Linked DNA regions of Yarrowia lipolytica. The protein of the gene in region 2 purifies or fractionates together with the protein of the main gene of each other region. This does not show direct contact. Links are inferred from orthologs where the notes say so. Each region holds a gene or a part of one and is shown on either strand. Other genes may lie near its edges. The genes, in order: YALI1_A00746g, YALI1_F32792g, YALI1_C12900g and YALI1_A00325g.

Region 1 (4,490 bases), on a different chromosome or scaffold from region 2:
GGTGCGGTTAGTGGAGAAGAATGTCCACTGTATCGTCGATGGATCGAAACCTGTACTTGTACAACTATATGATAGAATAAATCGATAGATGACATATTGCCAATAAAAAGTACTAGCTGATCATCTTATCAGTCTTGCAACTCGATTTTCCTGTGGAAGATCTGATGGAACGTACGGTACAGTTTCTTCAAACGATTAAATACTTGGTATTAGTTGTGAACTCTTCTTATAGTTAGAACTGTGCGTTAAGGGTGAACTGATCTCCCATTAAAACAGTTGAGCCAGCTAAGTACTGATAACAAACAACGTACTGTCCTTGCAACACATGTAGTCACACCATCCAGAGATGGCACTAAAGGATACGCTGTCACGCCACGCAGAGATTGAACTAAAAGATACACTGCCACTTTGTACACCCAATGTCATCAAGAACCCCCTTTGACACATGCTTATGCTAATGTACCGGATGTACTTGACATTCTTTAGATCAGTCCAGCGCTCACAGGTGCTTGCCATGAATAGCCGTATTAGTGGGTAGAAACATAACAGTCTCTGAATATCCTCCACGTTCTCAACTCCCCGTCTCTGAACTCCCCGTCTCTGAACTCCACGTATCTGAACTCCACGTATCTATCTAAAGTGCCCTTCTTGTAGATCTTCCAGCAGCGGTTGCATGTCAGAGTGGAGACCAATAGAATGATGGACCTGCTAAACCGCAGTCACATCCAAGAAGTAGGACCGGTAGGTGGTCACAAAGACTCAAACAAGCCCGTAAAGATCTCAATTGGTCCGTCCTGAGTATCCAGTATAAGCATCACACGTGCATCCACATTTCTTGTACTGATACTCAACACCTACACCCCTGGTTTGACACAACAGCACTTGACCAGTCTGAGATCCTCCCATAAAGTCCCTTTGGTCGATCATCTACATCTGTTTGTGCTTTACACATGTATCCAAGTCAGTGACAGTACTCTAGATCTATTCTACTTGTATGAACTATAGATTAGGCGGGGTGGATCCTGCCCTAGGTCAGAACTACCTAAGAGAAGTAGGCATAGTCACCTCCGGCCTTAGCGGCGGCCTCAGTGATGGTAGCCTTGGCCTTGGCGGCATCAGCACCGTCAAGAGCAGCAGCAAGATCACCGAGAGCAAGGTCGTCAATTCGGTTGAGCAGAGCATCGAGATCGATGTCAATATCGGCAGACTTGGCCTCGTCGCCGAAGTAGCCGTTGTCCTTGGCGGCGTTTCGCACAGCTCGCTTGTTCTTCTTCTTGGCGGACTTGGCAGCCTCCTTGGACTTCTTGGCGTTCTCCTTGTTGGCGGCAGCCTCCTCAGCCTCCTTCTTGGCCTTGGCAGCAGCCTCCTCGGCCTCCTTTGCGGCCTTAGCAGCGGCCTCTCGGGCACCGGCCTCCTTCTCCCACTTCTTGGCCTCCTTGGCCTTCTTGTCGGCCTCCTTGAACATCTTGATTCGGGGATCGAGGGACAGAGCAAGGTCAACGGCCTCTCGGAATCGGGCAGTGTCCTCGGTCTTGTGCTTCTGTCGCTGGGCCTTGTTCTTCTTCTCAATGTATCGCTTGTGGTCTCGGTTGGAAGAGTCATCGGGAACATCCTCGTCGAGGTACTCAAAGGTTCTCCACGAGTCGAAGGAGTACATGGCGGCGTAGAAGCCCTCCACCTCGGCCTTGGAAGACTCCATGGTACCAAGAGAAGGACAGGGCTGGGTCTTGGAGAATCGGATCTCGGAGTCGAAGAAGGGACCCCACAGCTCGATGAAGTTCTCGGCGGTGGTCTCCTTCTTGGTGGGCTGCTCCACATTGGCAGCCTCGTCGACGGAGTCGTACTGTCGTCGTCGGTTGGAGTCCATCAGAACCTCAAACGCCTTCTGGATACACTTGAAGAAGTCGTCCTCGTCGAGCTTGGAGCCGGAGGCGGCCTTCTTATCGGGGTGATGCTTGAGCACTCGCTTTCGGTGGGCCCGTCGGATCTGGTCCTCAGTAGCTCGGTGTCGAAGGTGAGAGATACCCAGAACTCTGTAATGGTCCTGAGACTTCCAGTCCTTGGCCTCTCGCTCGAGATCCTCAATGTCTTCAGGCTCGTCGCCGAGATCGGCGTCCTCATCCTCGCCCTCGACCTGCTTGACGTTCTTGGCGGCCTCCTCCTTCTCGTCCTCAGACCAAGTTCGGCCTCGCAGAGTTCGTCGCGCATGGGCCAGGAACCCGGGTCCAACGGGCTCAATCTGTCGCTTGACAGGAGAGGTGAAGGCGGAGTGGGCAACAAAGCCCTCGGAGTTGGCAGAAGCCCATCCGGAAGGAAGAGTAGGCAGAGACATGGTGTTGTTGTGCTGGTGTGAAGGAGAGAGTTGGTAAGGGTAAAAGTTTTACCAAAATGTCAGATTAAGGTTTTTTCAATCTTATTAAGCAACGGGGCCTGAAAACTGCTGCTGTAGAGAAGTGAGACTAGTATGTCGTTGTGTAGTCAGATTAGGAGCTCTTTTTGGGCTATTGTGACTTACTCATTCATTTTTTGCCGTTCTACGTGCCATTTCACGTCACATGATCGTTTCTGGCTACTTTGAATGCCTTCCCCCACACTCCCAGACTGCACCCTAACTCACACTACCAATACAGTCCTGAAAAAAATATCCGACAGACTTGAATATGTCATGCTACTTCTCACAAACTTCACATTGGAGACATCCTACAGTCCAGTTGAGAGATACGCTAGGGGGCGTTTCACTTTCAATCCAAGGTACAATACAGTAGAAACAATACCTCTATAAGTAGAACGGATATTTACTGATATGATTCGAATCAGAGTGAGCCCCTGGGCCGTTTGGTGATCTTGATACTTGTTCTCTCCTATACGCACTCTCTTATCACTTAAATAATAATTACCATAAACATATACAAAACCCATTCTTTTCATAAGTAGGTCCCCTTGGACCAGTCCTGCTTAATGTGCAGGCCAAACCACTGAGTTCAGACTTCACCACTAGCTGCGCGCGCCATTCGCTTCGCCCGTTACTCGCTTAGCACTCGTCATCTAGGCCTTCTGTCCATCAACAAACGTCAGCGCATCCTCCCGAGTAATACTCTTCACCGTAGAAATCTTGTTGTTGAATAAGACTCCGTAAAACTTGTCAGCCACGTGAATCATCTCATTTCGGAACGTGGTGCAAATGAACTGTGTAGGCTGAGGAGCGTTGGCAATCTGGGAAATCACCTGCGCCACAGCAGTTCGATACTGATCGTCAAGATTAGCGTCAATCTCGTCAAACAGGTAAAAGGGGGCAGGATCGGACCGCTGGATGGCGAAAATGAGCGCCAACGCACACAGCGACTTTTGACCTCCCGACAGCTGCTCCACTCGCTGCTGCTCGTTCTCCGTCGAGTTGAACGACACGTTGATCGCCACTCCAGTGTACGAGTCAGGGTTCTGGTCGTCCAGAGCCCGTCGCTCGATCACCAGCTGACCCTTTCCTCGAGGCACAAGCTGTTGGAACACCTCGGAGAATTCCTTGGACACTTGCTGGAACGTTCGCTTGATTGCTCGGTCCTTCTGGTCGTTAAGAGTGGAAATTAGCTCCTCAATGGACTCTGCAGACTCCATGAGGTTCTGTCGACGTGAAAGAAGTCGATCTCGGTCCTTGCTAAACGTCGCAAATTGCTCCAGAGCTTTCCGATTGACGTGGCCAAACTTCTTGAGCTCGTCAGACACCTCTCTGAACTCCTGCATCATGTCGCCGTCGCTCTGGGCAGACACATCGAGGAAAGCATCGTCGGGCAGAATACCAATCTCTCGAATCTTGGCCTGCACATGCTCTCGTCGCTGTTCAAGGGCCTGTCGCTTGGCTGCAACTCGCTCGGCAGCCTTTGCAAACTTGGACAGCTTTCGCAGACTCTGGGCCTGCTCATCCTTGAGCTCGGCGAGGTGAGCCTCGTCGTTTGCCACCTGCTGCTCCGCGGTCTCCAGTGCTTTCTCAGTCGACAATTGCTTGCTGGCAGCCTCCGACAACTGCTCCTCCATCTGAGCAAGCTTGCGGGTAAGCGTGGCAGCCTTCTCGGCCAGCTCGGCAGCATCAAAGTCGCCGTTGTGTTGCAGCTCCATGTCGTCTCGAGACAGGTACAAGTTCTGCTGTAGCTCGTTCTCGAGACTCAGACGGGTCATTTCCAGAGCAGACACCTTCTGTTGAAGCTCGGCGACCGAGGCAGACAGGCCAGGAAGAGTCTCGCAGACCCGCTCGAGCTCTTGCTGCTGAGCAGAAGACAACTGCGAGCTGAACTCGGACACCAACTCCGAGTTATACGACTCCAGCTGCGACTCCATCGACGAGATGTCTCGAAGCAGCGTCTCGGAGTTGTCCCGCTTCTTCTCAATAAGACCCTTGAGGGTTGTGATGGCCGCGGTCTCGGCCTTGATGGACTCAGAGGCCCGCTGCCGGGTCTCTTCAATCTGCTGCATTTCCATCAGCAGTTTGTTCTGCTCCG
Region 2 (3,575 bases):
GAGATCGGTCCAAGATTCTGACCGAGGCTCTCAAGAACGTGACTGTTCCCAGTGACGTCAACCTCACTCCTTATCTGGAGCAGATCACCGACAAGAGTTCCTAACTTGCAAGCATTTATCTAACGTTATTGATTATGGAAACGATAGACTATGGCCCGTAGGGTTGTATTGACATGAAACCAGACCGAAGTGTACCATACGAGTGTGTAATTCGGAGGAGGCACAAAAAGGGAGACTCAATGTAGAAATGTTCACAATTGAAGTTGGGTTGCTCAATCATATTGTGACAGTTATGTTCAGCAGCATTTACAGGTGGATGCACGACATCCGTGGTCAACTCGTACTTGTCACCTGAAGATGTGGTAAGTTGGAATCCACTGTCTTTCATGTGTCCCAGACACTCTAGACTCATGTCTTGTACCTTTTATCTGGAATTAGTAAAGGTACGACTTCTTTATCATTGTCTCCTTAGAATGCATCTAGAGAGAGAAATGACACGCATTGGGCGAGTTGGCTTAGTTAGCTTGTATAGATATTTTAGCTACGCAATGGGAATATACTGTACAGTACCAAGAAGTGCCGAACGTACTCTCCATAATCACATGATCTTGGCACACGGCTGATCTCGTTCACATGGAGTGCAAGTACTCGTATAGCAGAGAGGAGAAGATCGCCGTGACATCGTGTTGTCACATGTATGGTGTCGGGCAGTGAGCTTGACAAACATTAGTTAACGAGGCAGATGACAGATTATAGACCAGTTCGACTGGATGCCTGAACGGGTTTCGTCAGGGTTCGTCAGGGTTTCGCATGGCTGTCGTCGACGGTGGAAATTGTGTAAAACTCGAACTGAAAGTTCTTTTGGAAGTTAAACCATCGTTGGTCGAGAAAGCATCTGGAGATGATAGCTTGGATTCTCGAAAAAGTTTTCAATATTCAATAATACACGGACACACCTCCGCTACGGGGGCTACGGTTGAGTTGACGCATGAGGAGCTACCTCTTCGTCGGCTCGCGTTCAATAAATAATATCGATTGCTCGCAAATGTGTTCATTAGTGCATTTTCTAAATGACACCTTTTGAGATGGCTAAATGCCTTTTGTAACTTCCCTAATAAAAGAGTTGTTTAGATGTAACCGATCTTGTTGGCAATGTCAAGAGCATCGTGGTCGGCGGTGAGTCGGACGAAAGCCTTCTTCTTACCGTCGGGTCGGATGAGGGTGTTGACAGAGGCAATCTCGACCTCGTAGAGCTTCTTGATAGCATCTCGGATCTGGTACTTGTTGGCCTTCTTGTTGACAATGAAGACAAGGGTGTTGGAGTCCTCGATCTTCTTCATGGCAGTCTCAGTGTTAAGGGGAGAGATGATGACATCGTAAGAGTCCATTCGGGGGTAGTGAGCAACGGCCTTTCGCTGGTACAGGGGCTTCTTGGGGAGCTCAAGGACCTTGGGTCGTCGGAAGATGGTGGAGGATCGGTACTTGAGGGTCTTGGAGCCGTTGGTACCCTTGAGGGCAGCCTTCTTGGCGTTCTGAGCTTGAGTGGCGGCCATTGTTGATGTCGTGAGTGTGAGCTGAGGAACTAAGATTTTTGAGCCGGCGGATTTGATGTAGTGAAAAGTTTGGCACCGCTTTAGGTTAGCCTGTGACTGTCTTTAGGGCTAACCCTAGACTAAAGGCAGGGTAACTCTGTGTGGGAGCGGAAGATGTGGTAGGGGAATTATTACCAGGTAAATATTTGTCTTGTAGTGGCATGTGGACAGAAACATTCAACCATAATGACGATTTCTAGAGCTATATTTAGGGTCGTCTAAAATAGGTCACGTGGATAGATGACCCCAAAAAGGACGAACCTTAAACCCTTATTGGTAGACGGAGTTTGGACTTGGTGATGGGATGGATGGATGGAGCTATAGAAGTGCGCGTTCGAAGATCGCCATGCACTAAATAATGGGCCTTATTCTCCGGACTTGTTGCATGTTATTGCCCAGGAGCGTCATATGACTTTTTGCAGATTATGTCACGTGATAAAGCATTACTTCGAAGATTAATGTGCTAAACGTCTACTTGTGCGAACTGTTGCCCTACAATACAGAGTCAGTAGGTCGTCTGTTGACATACAACAAGTACTCCCAACTAAACTTATTTAACCGCGGATGTACTGCAGGTTAATATCTCACTGAACATTGTGGAATAAAAGCACAGGTATAAGGCCCGCCACGCAGATACACTATTCAAGTTCATTACTAATGAAATTCGTATCTATCGGCCATCATTCGGGCTTCTACCGTTGCTCTGTTGACAATGGTGATGTGGGGCTTCTTGCATCCAGAGGTGCGAAAGTGGCGGTTGAAGCCCATGGGATCGAATGTATGTCCACATTGGGAACACGTGACTGTAATTTTTTTCTGCGAGTTGGGGACTGAATAATACATGGAGATGGAGAGAATGGATGTGTTTCATGGGCTTCTCCCTATATACTGGTATTTTGTGGAATGGTCTTTTGGGGCATACTGACCAGTCGCCTTCTTGTCCGGAAGTAGTTGGAATGTGCGGTGTGAAAAGGTCACAATCCTGACGAATAACGGGCTTCGTGGGTCAGTGTAAGTACTAGAGGGAACTATCTCACTTGCTGGAGCATTGTACAACTACAGGCATGAAAAAGTCAATGAGTGGTACTTGTACTCCAAAGCGACACTTTCACCGTTCTCTTGGTATGTGTGCTGTTTGGACTTGGTATAGCATGAGCAAAGGTTGAAATGTTTCCCTTGAGAGTGGTCATATCATGCTGAAGTCGCAGGAAAATGATAAGTCATTTTTCCACAAACATGACGGGCATCCACAGATTGTGATCCACATATTGTCAAAGCATTACTCAATACTTGAACTTTTCGACTGTCCATCATCAGAATGCTTCCAGATTAAACCCACAACTTCATCCAGGACGATAGCAACTTGACACGACTTGATCGATCTCTTGTACGTATTGAAGAAATCGAACAGAAGGATGAATGACTTCCCATACTTCCTTTCCATGTGACGAGCAGCTCTTACAACAATGCAGACCCCTCATCCAGTAGCGACACACCACCACGTAAGGGAACTGACATCGGCTGCTGAAATATAGATTATCTCTGTCATTTTTTTCAGACAAAAGATGAATATAATCTACTGATGGGGTAACTCTTAGACAGTCCCAAGAGCCGTGGGAGCTGTTTTTTTTCTGGACCCAATGTCATCCCGGACTTAAGCGGAGATGATGTCCCAAATGGTTGTGACAAATGAATCAAGAGTGGGTCCGTGGTGTCTCATTCACCACATCGAGATACACAAACTCCCTTCTAATGAATAGTTAACAGCTGGACCACCATTTATACCTGCTATACAACCAATAGTACCTATTATTATACACCTCATGTCGATACTTTCACTTTCTGCCACTACGATGTTTTCACATCTCGTATCTCTCGTGTCCATCCCACATGAGTAGCGAACAAATCGCACTATTCAAAGTCAGTTTATGTTTAATATGGGTCCATTTGAGCCATTACATACGCTGATTAGGGTCCCAGAAG
Region 3 (4,836 bases), on a different chromosome or scaffold from region 2:
AGCAGTTTGGTAGTGTACTTGTACTTGTTACTAGTGCACATTCAGAGAGCAAGTGTGTAGCCATGTCAAGGACCACTACCCAACTCCATCGGAGCAAGTGGTGGTGCTGCGCGCTATGGAGCTACAGTACTCGTACAAGAGTTGGTTGTGCTTCAACGACCCTTGCTGTGGGGTACCCTGTCTGTCGTCTTTCCTCTCTGACTCTCTGCACGGCCTCTTCCGAAAGATCCGAATTGTGCGGATAGCTTTTCCGTGGCTACAGAGTCGTCAGGTTTGGCCTGAAAAAAAGGCCTGAATCGACATTGTCGCGCATGGCAGATGCGCCAGGGTGATGGACTGTGCGAGCTCCAAAGCAGTTGCGAGAAAAACTGCGGGCAAAGCTGCGGGCAAAGCAGGCAAGGCGGGAAAGCGAGCAAAACGGGCAACGCAGGCAAGGCGGGCAACGCAGGCAAAGCGGGCAAAAACGGGCAAAAACGCGAGCAAAAAGATATGTGGTCTCTCTGCAGGTTGTGAATGTGATTTCAGTGAGTGTGTGGAGCAGGGCTCATGGGGTCCGATGAAGCTGCGTGAGTGGAATTCGTCCATACATGGTGGCCACTTGTCCATCTTCATCATCTCCTCACTGAATAACCTCACTCCCGCCATGGGGATCCGGACCCTGACCACCTCCGAACGCACTCCATAACGCACTCACTCTTTAGGCGTTAGAAGCGGAGATAAGGGTGTGGGGACGGCCAATGAGAGCCACAAAGTCGGTTATCGTACAGATAATATCGGCTTTTTGACGACAACAACAAGGTGACATGATACAGGCGCGTTGGTGAAGTTGAGGGAGTACTAGTACCAGCATAGAAGCATTTTGACAAACCATCTATTCCACCTGAAGACAGTCTTTCTACAAGGTTGTCTCCAATCAGCTTACTCATCAGGATGGCTCATGAGCTGCTCATTGAGTGATTGCGTTTTATCGGTCCTGTTGCTGATTTGGTTGGTTGTTTGATTGGTTGGTGCTATACAATCAGCCAACCCAAGTACTAATAGTCAACTTCTCTGGAAACAGTCCGTGCTGTCCCGTAGATGATGGTCTAATTCAATCATGAGAAGACAACTCCGCCCAGATCGGAAGCTGTGAGGATCGGAAGCTGTGAGGGTCCTGCGTCACGTGAACATATCGACACCCAACTCCATGGCACGTGACTCCCTCTCTGTGACTCCCTCCCCATCACCCCTCTGACCTCACCAACCATTCCATTGGCCAACTGCCTACGCACCAACTACAATAAACCTTCAAGTGACTCCCCCACATTTTCCAAAGGTGTAGGTTTGGAGTGAGACTTGCTCTAAAAGTGGGACTGCAAGTACATAACAGTAGTCCTACAATCATCAGGCCCCATCCATCTTTCAGGACGACCATGGCCGCAAGTAGTGACACCAGATGGCCACAAGTACAGTATGTACAGTACAGTAGTAGTGACAGCCGCTGGTGTACGGTCGTCGTACTGTAGTTTGGAGAGGACAGTTCAGTATGCTGAAAAGTTCCAGAGCTGACCAGGATAAACGGAATATACAAGATAAGTACACACAGTACCCGTTAAATCCGTCCGACTGACAATTTACGACATCCTTCTCGTCCCTTCTATCGAGAGTCCTCCCCCCTCTCTCTCCTCCGTCCTCTCTGCCCCTCTGTCCTCCCTCTGTCCTCCTCCCCTCCTCGTGCACTGATTACTGTTGATCATACTTCTAGCAGACAGATCAGGCGATACAGCCAAGCTGAAAAGACCAAGCCAAAACCATGACCAACCAAGACCAACCAAGACCAAAACACTCTCAAAAAAGGACAAAAAAATAATAAAAAAACGTCTCTGCCGGCCCACTCAACGTCCTTGTCACGTGACTCTCTCCAATCTCTCCTTGCCACTCCACCGGCTGGTTACACCTGCCTCTATCGCACCTGCATACTCCTCACAGCAAACTTTGGAGCCTTAGGTTTGTAGACTAAAGTACACCCAGGTCCCAAGAGGTGCGGAGACAGGTTCCAAAGGGGCCCAGGGAGCGGTCTAGTGACCAATCTGAGAGGGCCAATCGATTCTCCGTGGCCGCTTTGGTCGGAGGCATCACGTCGGGCTAGGACTGGGCCCCCCGCTCGTGAGGGGGATCGCATCACGGGACTTACCCTACGTCACCTCCTCTTACCCTACCTTCCCCCATTGGGCCAGCGCCAACCCACTCACACTTGTCGGTGAAATTTTCACTTTGCTGTTGCTCCAAATTTTAAGTGTCCAAACACGAGGATAATAGAGGGCTGCTAACATGTCTGTCTCCAAGGTGAGTATTTGAAGACAAGAGGGGTTGGGGGGGCCGTGAAAGCGGGACCCGGCGGCCACGCCCCAGCGGCCAAACACCGAGGATCATCCAACCCCACATGTGGGTCATGTGTGACTGACATGGGTGGAGGTGTCCCGTGGGGCACGTGGCAGAGATGTGGGATGTGGTGTCGCAGGTGTGACGGAGGAGAAGCTGATGATGGATGGCGTCAAGGGGTTTGTTGATTACGGGGTCGATTGTGTTTTTGGCTGCTTGGCTTGTGTTGGTGCTGTTTGGGTCGGTGGAGATGCACATTTGGTGTTGTCAGATCATTGCACCCAACGGCCCCATGTCCACCTAGTGGTGTGGGCAATGTGGAGACGTGGCCTCAAGGGCAGCGTCGATGATATCGCAACCAACCACAATCCCAAAATGACCCGTTCACACTGAACGATGGAGGTGCGGGGATGTCGCAATCAGACGATCCGACGGACCTACGTCCATAGTAGTCAGTGGTCAGCAGCGTCAACCACAACCATCCCACCAATCCGAAGTGCTTGTGCTATCTACGTGGCCAGTGCCATCATTCGCCGGGCATGTATCTCTTCCTCATGCGCATCACCACACTCCAACCATGGGTCTTCTCCAGACGCCTCGGACCGGTGGGCGGACCGTGTGATTCCCGGGCTGAGCATAGCCGGCCATCTCCAGAGCCCAGCTTGCCAGCTTGCCAGGTCGCCGTCGAATCGCCGTCGACCTCCTTCACATGGCGATGTCTCTTCCTGGCTACCCCACTTGGTGAGGGGAAGCCTGGGGCCGCTGCCTGCAAGTCGACTCGCAGACGAGCAGCAAGCGAGTTGCCTGTGTTGACTGCGACGTCTCCTTGCGACTCCGTTGCGAATTGTTTGTGACTCATTTACTGCCCGCTCGCGCTCGCTCCGCTTGTGCGCTCTTGCATCTTCCGTGCTAACCCAGAACCTATACGAAATCCTCGGCAACGTGGAGGAGGACTCCAACAAGGTCATTGTGACCAAGGAGCTCACCAAGAACTCCGGCTCTTCCAAGAAGAACGCCGCCCCCAAGGACCCCGGCGCTGCCATCGGTGCTTCCAAGAAGTCCAACCAGCCCCTGCGGGACCAGAACCGGTCCAAGTCCACCGAGCCCCAGGCTGAGAAGAAGGGCAAGCCTGCCCGAAACCCCCGACCTGACCGACGATCCCAGACCGGCAAGTCCGACTCTGCCAAGAAGGTTGGCAAGGGATGGGGCGACTCCAAGGGCAAGCTCGCTGACGAGAAGGCCGGTGACGCCATCGCCACCAAGGACGAGGCCGAGCCCGAGACCCCCGTCGAGGCCCCTGTTGAGGAGCCTGACAACACCAAGACTCTGGAGGAGTACCTTGCCGAGCAGAAGGCTGCCACCGCCAAGCTTGCTTCCGGCCGATCTGTCCGACAGGCCAACGCCGGCGCCGAGTCCAAGTACTCCGAGGCTTCCAAGCTCGACAAGGACGAGGTTGCCGATCTCGTTGCCGGCACCAAGGCCAAGAACGTGCGAACCCGAGCCCGAAAGGAGAAGGTTCTGCTCGAGATTGAGCCTGCCTTCCCCGCCAACCGAGAGTCTCGAGGTGACCGATCCGACCGAGCCCCCCGAGAGAACCGAGGTGGCCGAGACGGCAAGCGAGGTGGTGACAAGAAGGGTTTCCGAACCCAGGAGCGAAAGGCTCCCTCCGTCAACCTCTCTTCCGCCTCTGACTTCCCCGCCCTTGGCGCCTAAGCGGACAACCGTGTCCTTTTGACAGGTTTTGAATCAAGTCTTTTGAATGAACAGTCGCATGGCTGACAAAACGAACGATGAGTAATCAATCGAGCGAATTATGAAACTGCAACCGACCATGACCATAGCCGTGGTTGTTGCCCTGTACATGAGTATGAAGCCGGTAGTTTGTAGCATCATGGTGCGTACTTGTAGTGATTGTATTGAGATATTTTGATAATGTTAATTATAAGCATAACCAACCCGAGGATTGAGTTCATAGGACAGGAGTAAGGGGGCCATTGTGCTGCGAATATTGGTGGTAGATGGAAGCGGGAAATGGGAGAGTCATCTGTGCAACGAGAGGAGTGTGATGGTTGTTTCCTTTTTCTGATCGGGCCATCATTGGGTGAGTTGGAGAGAGTGAGAGAGTGAGTGGAGCATTTTAACCACAGTAAGTGGCTCTATATGGTGTCAGTTCTATGACTGCAATTATACGAAGCCCATTGACGAGAGCGACAGAGATGCTGGAAAAGTCCGTCATTAATGGTACAAGCACAAGTATTGTACAATTACACGTGTTGGACGGACTTGGTTATCCATTCCAGCGCTCTATTTTACTGGTTCGTGTTTTTCACTTTTTCACCATGGCTGCATCACTCAGGCCTGCTAAGTCTGTCAGTAGTTGAGAGAAAGGAATTCTGAAAGTTGCAAAATGTCGGCGTTGATCAGAGCTTTGAAATTAGGCCACAAATGATACTTCATCTTCACTCCATCACCCAG
Region 4 (4,505 bases), on a different chromosome or scaffold from region 2:
AGCCCCGCCGCCCTTCTCACTAATCAAAGCGACAATTCCTCGTCCGAGATATGACCCAAACTCACTCAACATGGTTCTGGTGTTCCCTCTGGACATATTGCTGGTCTTTCTGCACCTTGGGTCCTCGACAATGGCCGGAAACGCCCCTTTGGCTGGAAACGTCCCTTTGGCTGCCTGATGACTCCTTTATCAGAGTGTATGCTTGTCCCTCATCCAACCACGTCTCGCCTGGATGAGGGGCCTGAGCTCCCGAGTGATAAAGGTGTCTCGCAAGTGTGGACTTGGTTGAAATGAGACAACGCTTTCCTTCAATGCTTTTGGTACTGTACGCACATGTTGGAGACGTTTGAATCGTCGTCATTTCAACACATTGACAGTGGAGTCTGTGTACCAACGATGACTGTCTACTGGTGGTCGTCATGACTGATTCATCACAGAACCAATGCACCAGAGATGTGTTGTAGCTAGAATTTTGCCACTACTACCTACATTCACCCTTCTCTCTACAGTACTGTATGTATATCCTATCATGATATATTCACTACTCTGGTGAGCGTTAGCTGTGTGTCCATCAGGACACCGCTGAGACCGGGTATGGAGGGTTGTCAGTGTCCGGAGCTCTGTCCTGATGTCTGGAGCTCTGACCCGGTCTCTTCCGGTCCATCCCAGTCTGTTTCGGTCCATCCCGGTCTCTTTGAGATCTATCCCAATCTCTTTTTTGGTCTGTCCGGTCGGATCCTTCTCATCTTCATCTTCACCTCCTCTTTTCTTGTGCTGACTGCTCAGTGTTTGCCAGGATCCAGACTATCTCTTCAGAATAGTGACAACATCCTCGTCCATCAACTCATGGGCCAAACCAACATACTGGGGCTGGTGCTTGACCGACTGACCGTAGACACATGCCGTCTTAAACTCCTCAACCAGACTCTTGTGGATCTGGTTACAGAAATGCTGGACGGTCGACCGACCATTCCGCAGAATGATGGGCTGCTCGTAGTCGGGCTGCTGGCCCTTGGGCTTGGTGTAGACCCGAACGAGGTTGAGTTTCTTCCACATTTCCTCCAGCAGCTCGTCCAGGTTCCAGCCATGCTCCGACGAAATGGGCACCGCGTTAGGGATTCGGTAAAGCAGATCCAACTCCTCAATGGAAATGCTGTCAATCTTGTTGAGACAATAAATGACCGAAATGTAGCGTCGGTTCTGCGCCTCGAGAATGTCAATGAGCTCGTCGACAGTGGCATCGCATCGGAAATGGATGTCAGCAGAATTGATTCGATACTCGCCCATCACCGCCCGAATCTCGTCATTGTCCAAATGGGTCAGAGGAACCGTGTTGGTGATGTTGATTCCACCCCGCTCCTTCTTCTTGAACAAAATGTTAGGAGGCTCCTTATTGATTCGAATACCAAATCCCTCCAGCTCCCGCTCAATGATCTTTTTGTGCTCCAGCGGCTTGTTCACATCCAGCACCACAAAAATCAGGTTGCACGTTCGAGCCACCGCAATCACCTGTCGACCTCGACCCTTACCATCCTTGGCTCCCTCGATAATTCCAGGAAGATCCAGCATCTGGATCTTGGCACCACGATACATAATCACTCCGGGAACAGTGGTCAGCGTGGTGAACTCATACGCCGCTGCCTCTGAATGAGTACCAGTCAACTTGGACAGTAAAGTCGACTTTCCAACCGAAGGAAACCCGATAAATCCAACCGAAGCAACACCAGTTCGAGCCACATCGAACCCAGCGCCTCCGCCACCACCTCCAGAGGAAGTGGGAGTCAACAGCTCTCGCTTCAACTTGGCCAACTTGGCCTTCAGCTGACCCAGATGGAACGAAGTCGCCTTGTTCTTCTGGGTCCGAGCCATCTCCTCCTCGATGTTTTTGATCTTTTCCACCGTTGTCGACATTTTGTTTTTTTTTGTGCAGTTGTAAAGGAGTGAATGGTTGAGTGCAAATCAATCGCTTATCTTTGAGGTTTGCTCTGTATCCATAAAGTGAAAATTTGAGATCACGTGAGTTACCCGGCGTGGCTAGTAATAAATTACAGTTTACTCGGTTTAGGGTTGTTGGGTTTAGGGCAGGGTTAGGTGGTTTGGGGGGTTGGGGTTTCCACTTCAAGACTGAATGTCGTTGAAGAATGGGCACGGGCACAATCAAACACATGTCATTATGGGAAAAAAGAATCTCAACCTCCCATATATAGCTTTCTGTATTATGTGAATATAATAAAATCGTTGGGTTGCTACGTTTCGGGTATCTTTCTACTGTAGGGCTGGGGTTAAAAGTTGAAGTATCTGTATTAGGGTTTGGTACTATGAATATCTCTAAATCACGTGTGTAGGTTGATGTGATTTGTAGAAAATGTATCGCAAAAACAAAAAGGTCATCTGGTTTTTATGTCTCCCGGCTTTACTTTGTAGACCCTTTTAATTCTTCTTTTATTCCTTCTTTTTATTTCTGTTTTTTCCCCCTTTTTAAAATAAATATATTAGAGCACATATCGACCTGATTTTGAGTGTATAATTAAATGACAAAGGTTGGCTAGATTTGGACATGGAAAAAGGGGGATCCGCAAAATAGAACCAGAGGTGCTATACTTGTACAAGTACTTGACGGACAGATTGTCAGGTGATAATTATTACCCGTCATAATCTGTATATCATTTTACACTGCTTGCTATTCATAACCTAAGGAGATGAGTTTGCCGTAATCTGAACATTAAGAGGTTTAGAATGGCATATTTTACAGGGAATTGGGGACAGACTGGAGACGGACATGGTGGCCATTTCTGCGACACTGGTTAGTTGGTGTTGAGGTACTGTAGTCCCAAAATTTAGTCATAACCTCTGCGACACACTCTTAATCTCTGATCTCCTCCGGGGCTGATTTCGTCGGGTGCAGACCAGGTCAGGGGAACGGGGAAGCCCTGCGATGTCGGATGAGTCATTTTTTCGGAGACGAATGTCGAGTCACGTGACCAGGCGAAGAGTCAACTGGAATTTCGATTGAGTCACATTCAGTCATGGAATTAAACGGGAAAAATAAAGATGGGATATACCGAAAATTGGAAAAAAAAAAAACAAAAAAAACCACCACAACGAATATCAGTATTTCGGGCTTTTTTATTTTTTATTATTTTAATTTATCTTCGACTACTGCAGTTATTGCGTGTTTATATAATGAGTGATAAATAAATGATGAAGAAATCCACTCGAAAAACATGATTTTCCCCGGCAGAAATTCGGGGGAAAAAAAGATTAAAAAAAAAGTCTGGAAAAACACCGGATGAAAAATTTGTGAAAAAATCGATGAAAAAAGTGAAGAAAAAAGCCAAGGAAAAATGTTGGAAATTCTGGGATAAAAAGGGGGCAAAAATTGTGATTTCCCTCCCGGTAATAATATGTCAGAGTTTTGTTTTGTTTTCATTTTCTTCATTTTCTTGTCTCCAATTCACGTGACAGTGAGTCACCTACCATAAACCAACGAGCCCTAACCTGTGAAATTTTGCATTAAATCTACCCTAGCAACACCCACTCGGATTCACCGACACAAACACAATGAATTTCTCCAAGGAGGAAGAAGCGGTGCTCAAGTTCTGGGAGGAGATTGATGCCTTCCAGACGTCACTCAAGCTCAATGCTGACAAGCCCCATTTCACCTTCTACGATGGGCCTCCGTTTGCCACTGGCACTCCGCACTATGGCCACATTTTGGCGTCGACCATCAAGGACATTGTGCCACGATATGCCCATATGACTGGGCATCATGTGGAGCGACGGTTTGGCTGGGACACGCATGGGCTTCCTGTGGAACACGAGATTGACAAGAAGCTGGATATCAAGGGCAAGGAAGACGTGATGAAGTTTGGTCTGGCCAACTACAACGAGGAGTGTCGAGCCATTGTGATGCGATATGCTGGGGAGTGGCGCAAGACGATTGGTCGGCTGGGTCGATGGATCGACTTTGACAACGACTACAAGACGCTGCAGACGTCGTTCATGGAGTCGGTTTGGTGGGTGTTTCAGGAGCTGTACAAGAAGGACGCTGTCTACCGGGGCCATCGAGTCATGCCCTACTCCACCGCTCTGTGCACGCCCATTGCCAACTTTGAGGCTGCTCAGAACTACAAGGAGGTGCTGGATCCCGCGGTGGTCGTCGCCTTCCCTCTGGTGGATGAGCCCGAGGTCAAGTTGCTGGCCTGGACCACCACTCCCTGGACTCTTCCTTCGAACCTGGCTCTTGCCGTGAACCCCAACTTTGACTACATCAAGATCAAGGACGGCAAGACCGGCGACGTGTACATTTTGCTGGAGTCGTTGCTGTCCACTCTGTACAAGAACCCCAAGAAGGCCGACTTTTCCGTGTTGGAAAAGGGCATTAAGGGCTCTTCTCTCAAGGGCAAGCGATACCAGCCTCTATTCCCCTACTTTGCCGCGGACTTTGAAGACTCGGAGGACGCCCGAAAGCTCAAGTTGACCCCGGGCTTCCAGGTCATTTGTGC

Evidence for each region.
Region 1: the proteins of YALI1_F32792g (region 2) and YALI1_A00746g purify together in Saccharomyces cerevisiae (affinity purification with mass spectrometry; 3 studies listed by BioGRID). This does not show direct contact. The link is inferred for Yarrowia lipolytica from reciprocal best matches to the Saccharomyces cerevisiae genes RPL25 and ZUO1.
Region 3: the proteins of YALI1_F32792g (region 2) and YALI1_C12900g purify together in Saccharomyces cerevisiae (affinity purification with mass spectrometry; 4 studies listed by BioGRID). This does not show direct contact. The link is inferred for Yarrowia lipolytica from reciprocal best matches to the Saccharomyces cerevisiae genes RPL25 and STM1.
Region 4: the proteins of YALI1_F32792g (region 2) and YALI1_A00325g purify together in Saccharomyces cerevisiae (affinity purification with mass spectrometry; 3 studies listed by BioGRID, with this or other methods). This does not show direct contact. The link is inferred for Yarrowia lipolytica from reciprocal best matches to the Saccharomyces cerevisiae genes RPL25 and RBG1.

The regions. Positions count from the first base shown.
Region 1 is NC_090770.1:72,342-76,831, forward strand, and holds YALI1_A00746g (uncharacterized protein), read right to left. Parts: upstream 2,333-4,490; coding exon 1,043-2,332; downstream 1-1,042. Other genes in the region: YALI1_A00789g (uncharacterized protein), read right to left, coding at 3,046-4,490. UniProt on the Saccharomyces cerevisiae protein: Component of the ribosome-associated complex (RAC), a heterodimeric chaperone complex involved in regulation of accurate translation termination and in folding or maintaining nascent polypeptides in a folding-competent state.
Region 2 is NC_090775.1:3,277,679-3,281,253, forward strand, and holds YALI1_F32792g (60S ribosomal protein uL23), read right to left. Parts: upstream 1,554-3,575; coding exon 1,128-1,553; downstream 1-1,127. Other genes in the region: YALI1_F32764g (uncharacterized protein), read left to right, coding at 1-104. UniProt on the Saccharomyces cerevisiae protein: Component of the ribosome, a large ribonucleoprotein complex responsible for the synthesis of proteins in the cell.
Region 3 is NC_090772.1:1,288,523-1,293,358, reverse strand, and holds YALI1_C12900g (uncharacterized protein), read left to right. Parts: upstream 1-2,310; coding exon 2,311-2,325; intron 2,326-3,279; coding exon 3,280-4,074; downstream 4,075-4,836. UniProt on the Saccharomyces cerevisiae protein: Ribosome preservation factor that protect a small pool of nontranslating, vacant ribosomes in cells under nutrient starvation conditions.
Region 4 is NC_090770.1:30,005-34,509, reverse strand, and holds YALI1_A00325g (uncharacterized protein), read right to left. Parts: upstream 1,912-4,505; coding exon 805-1,911; downstream 1-804. Other genes in the region: YALI1_A00309g (uncharacterized protein), read left to right, coding at 3,562-4,505. UniProt on the Saccharomyces cerevisiae protein: Involved in ribosomal function.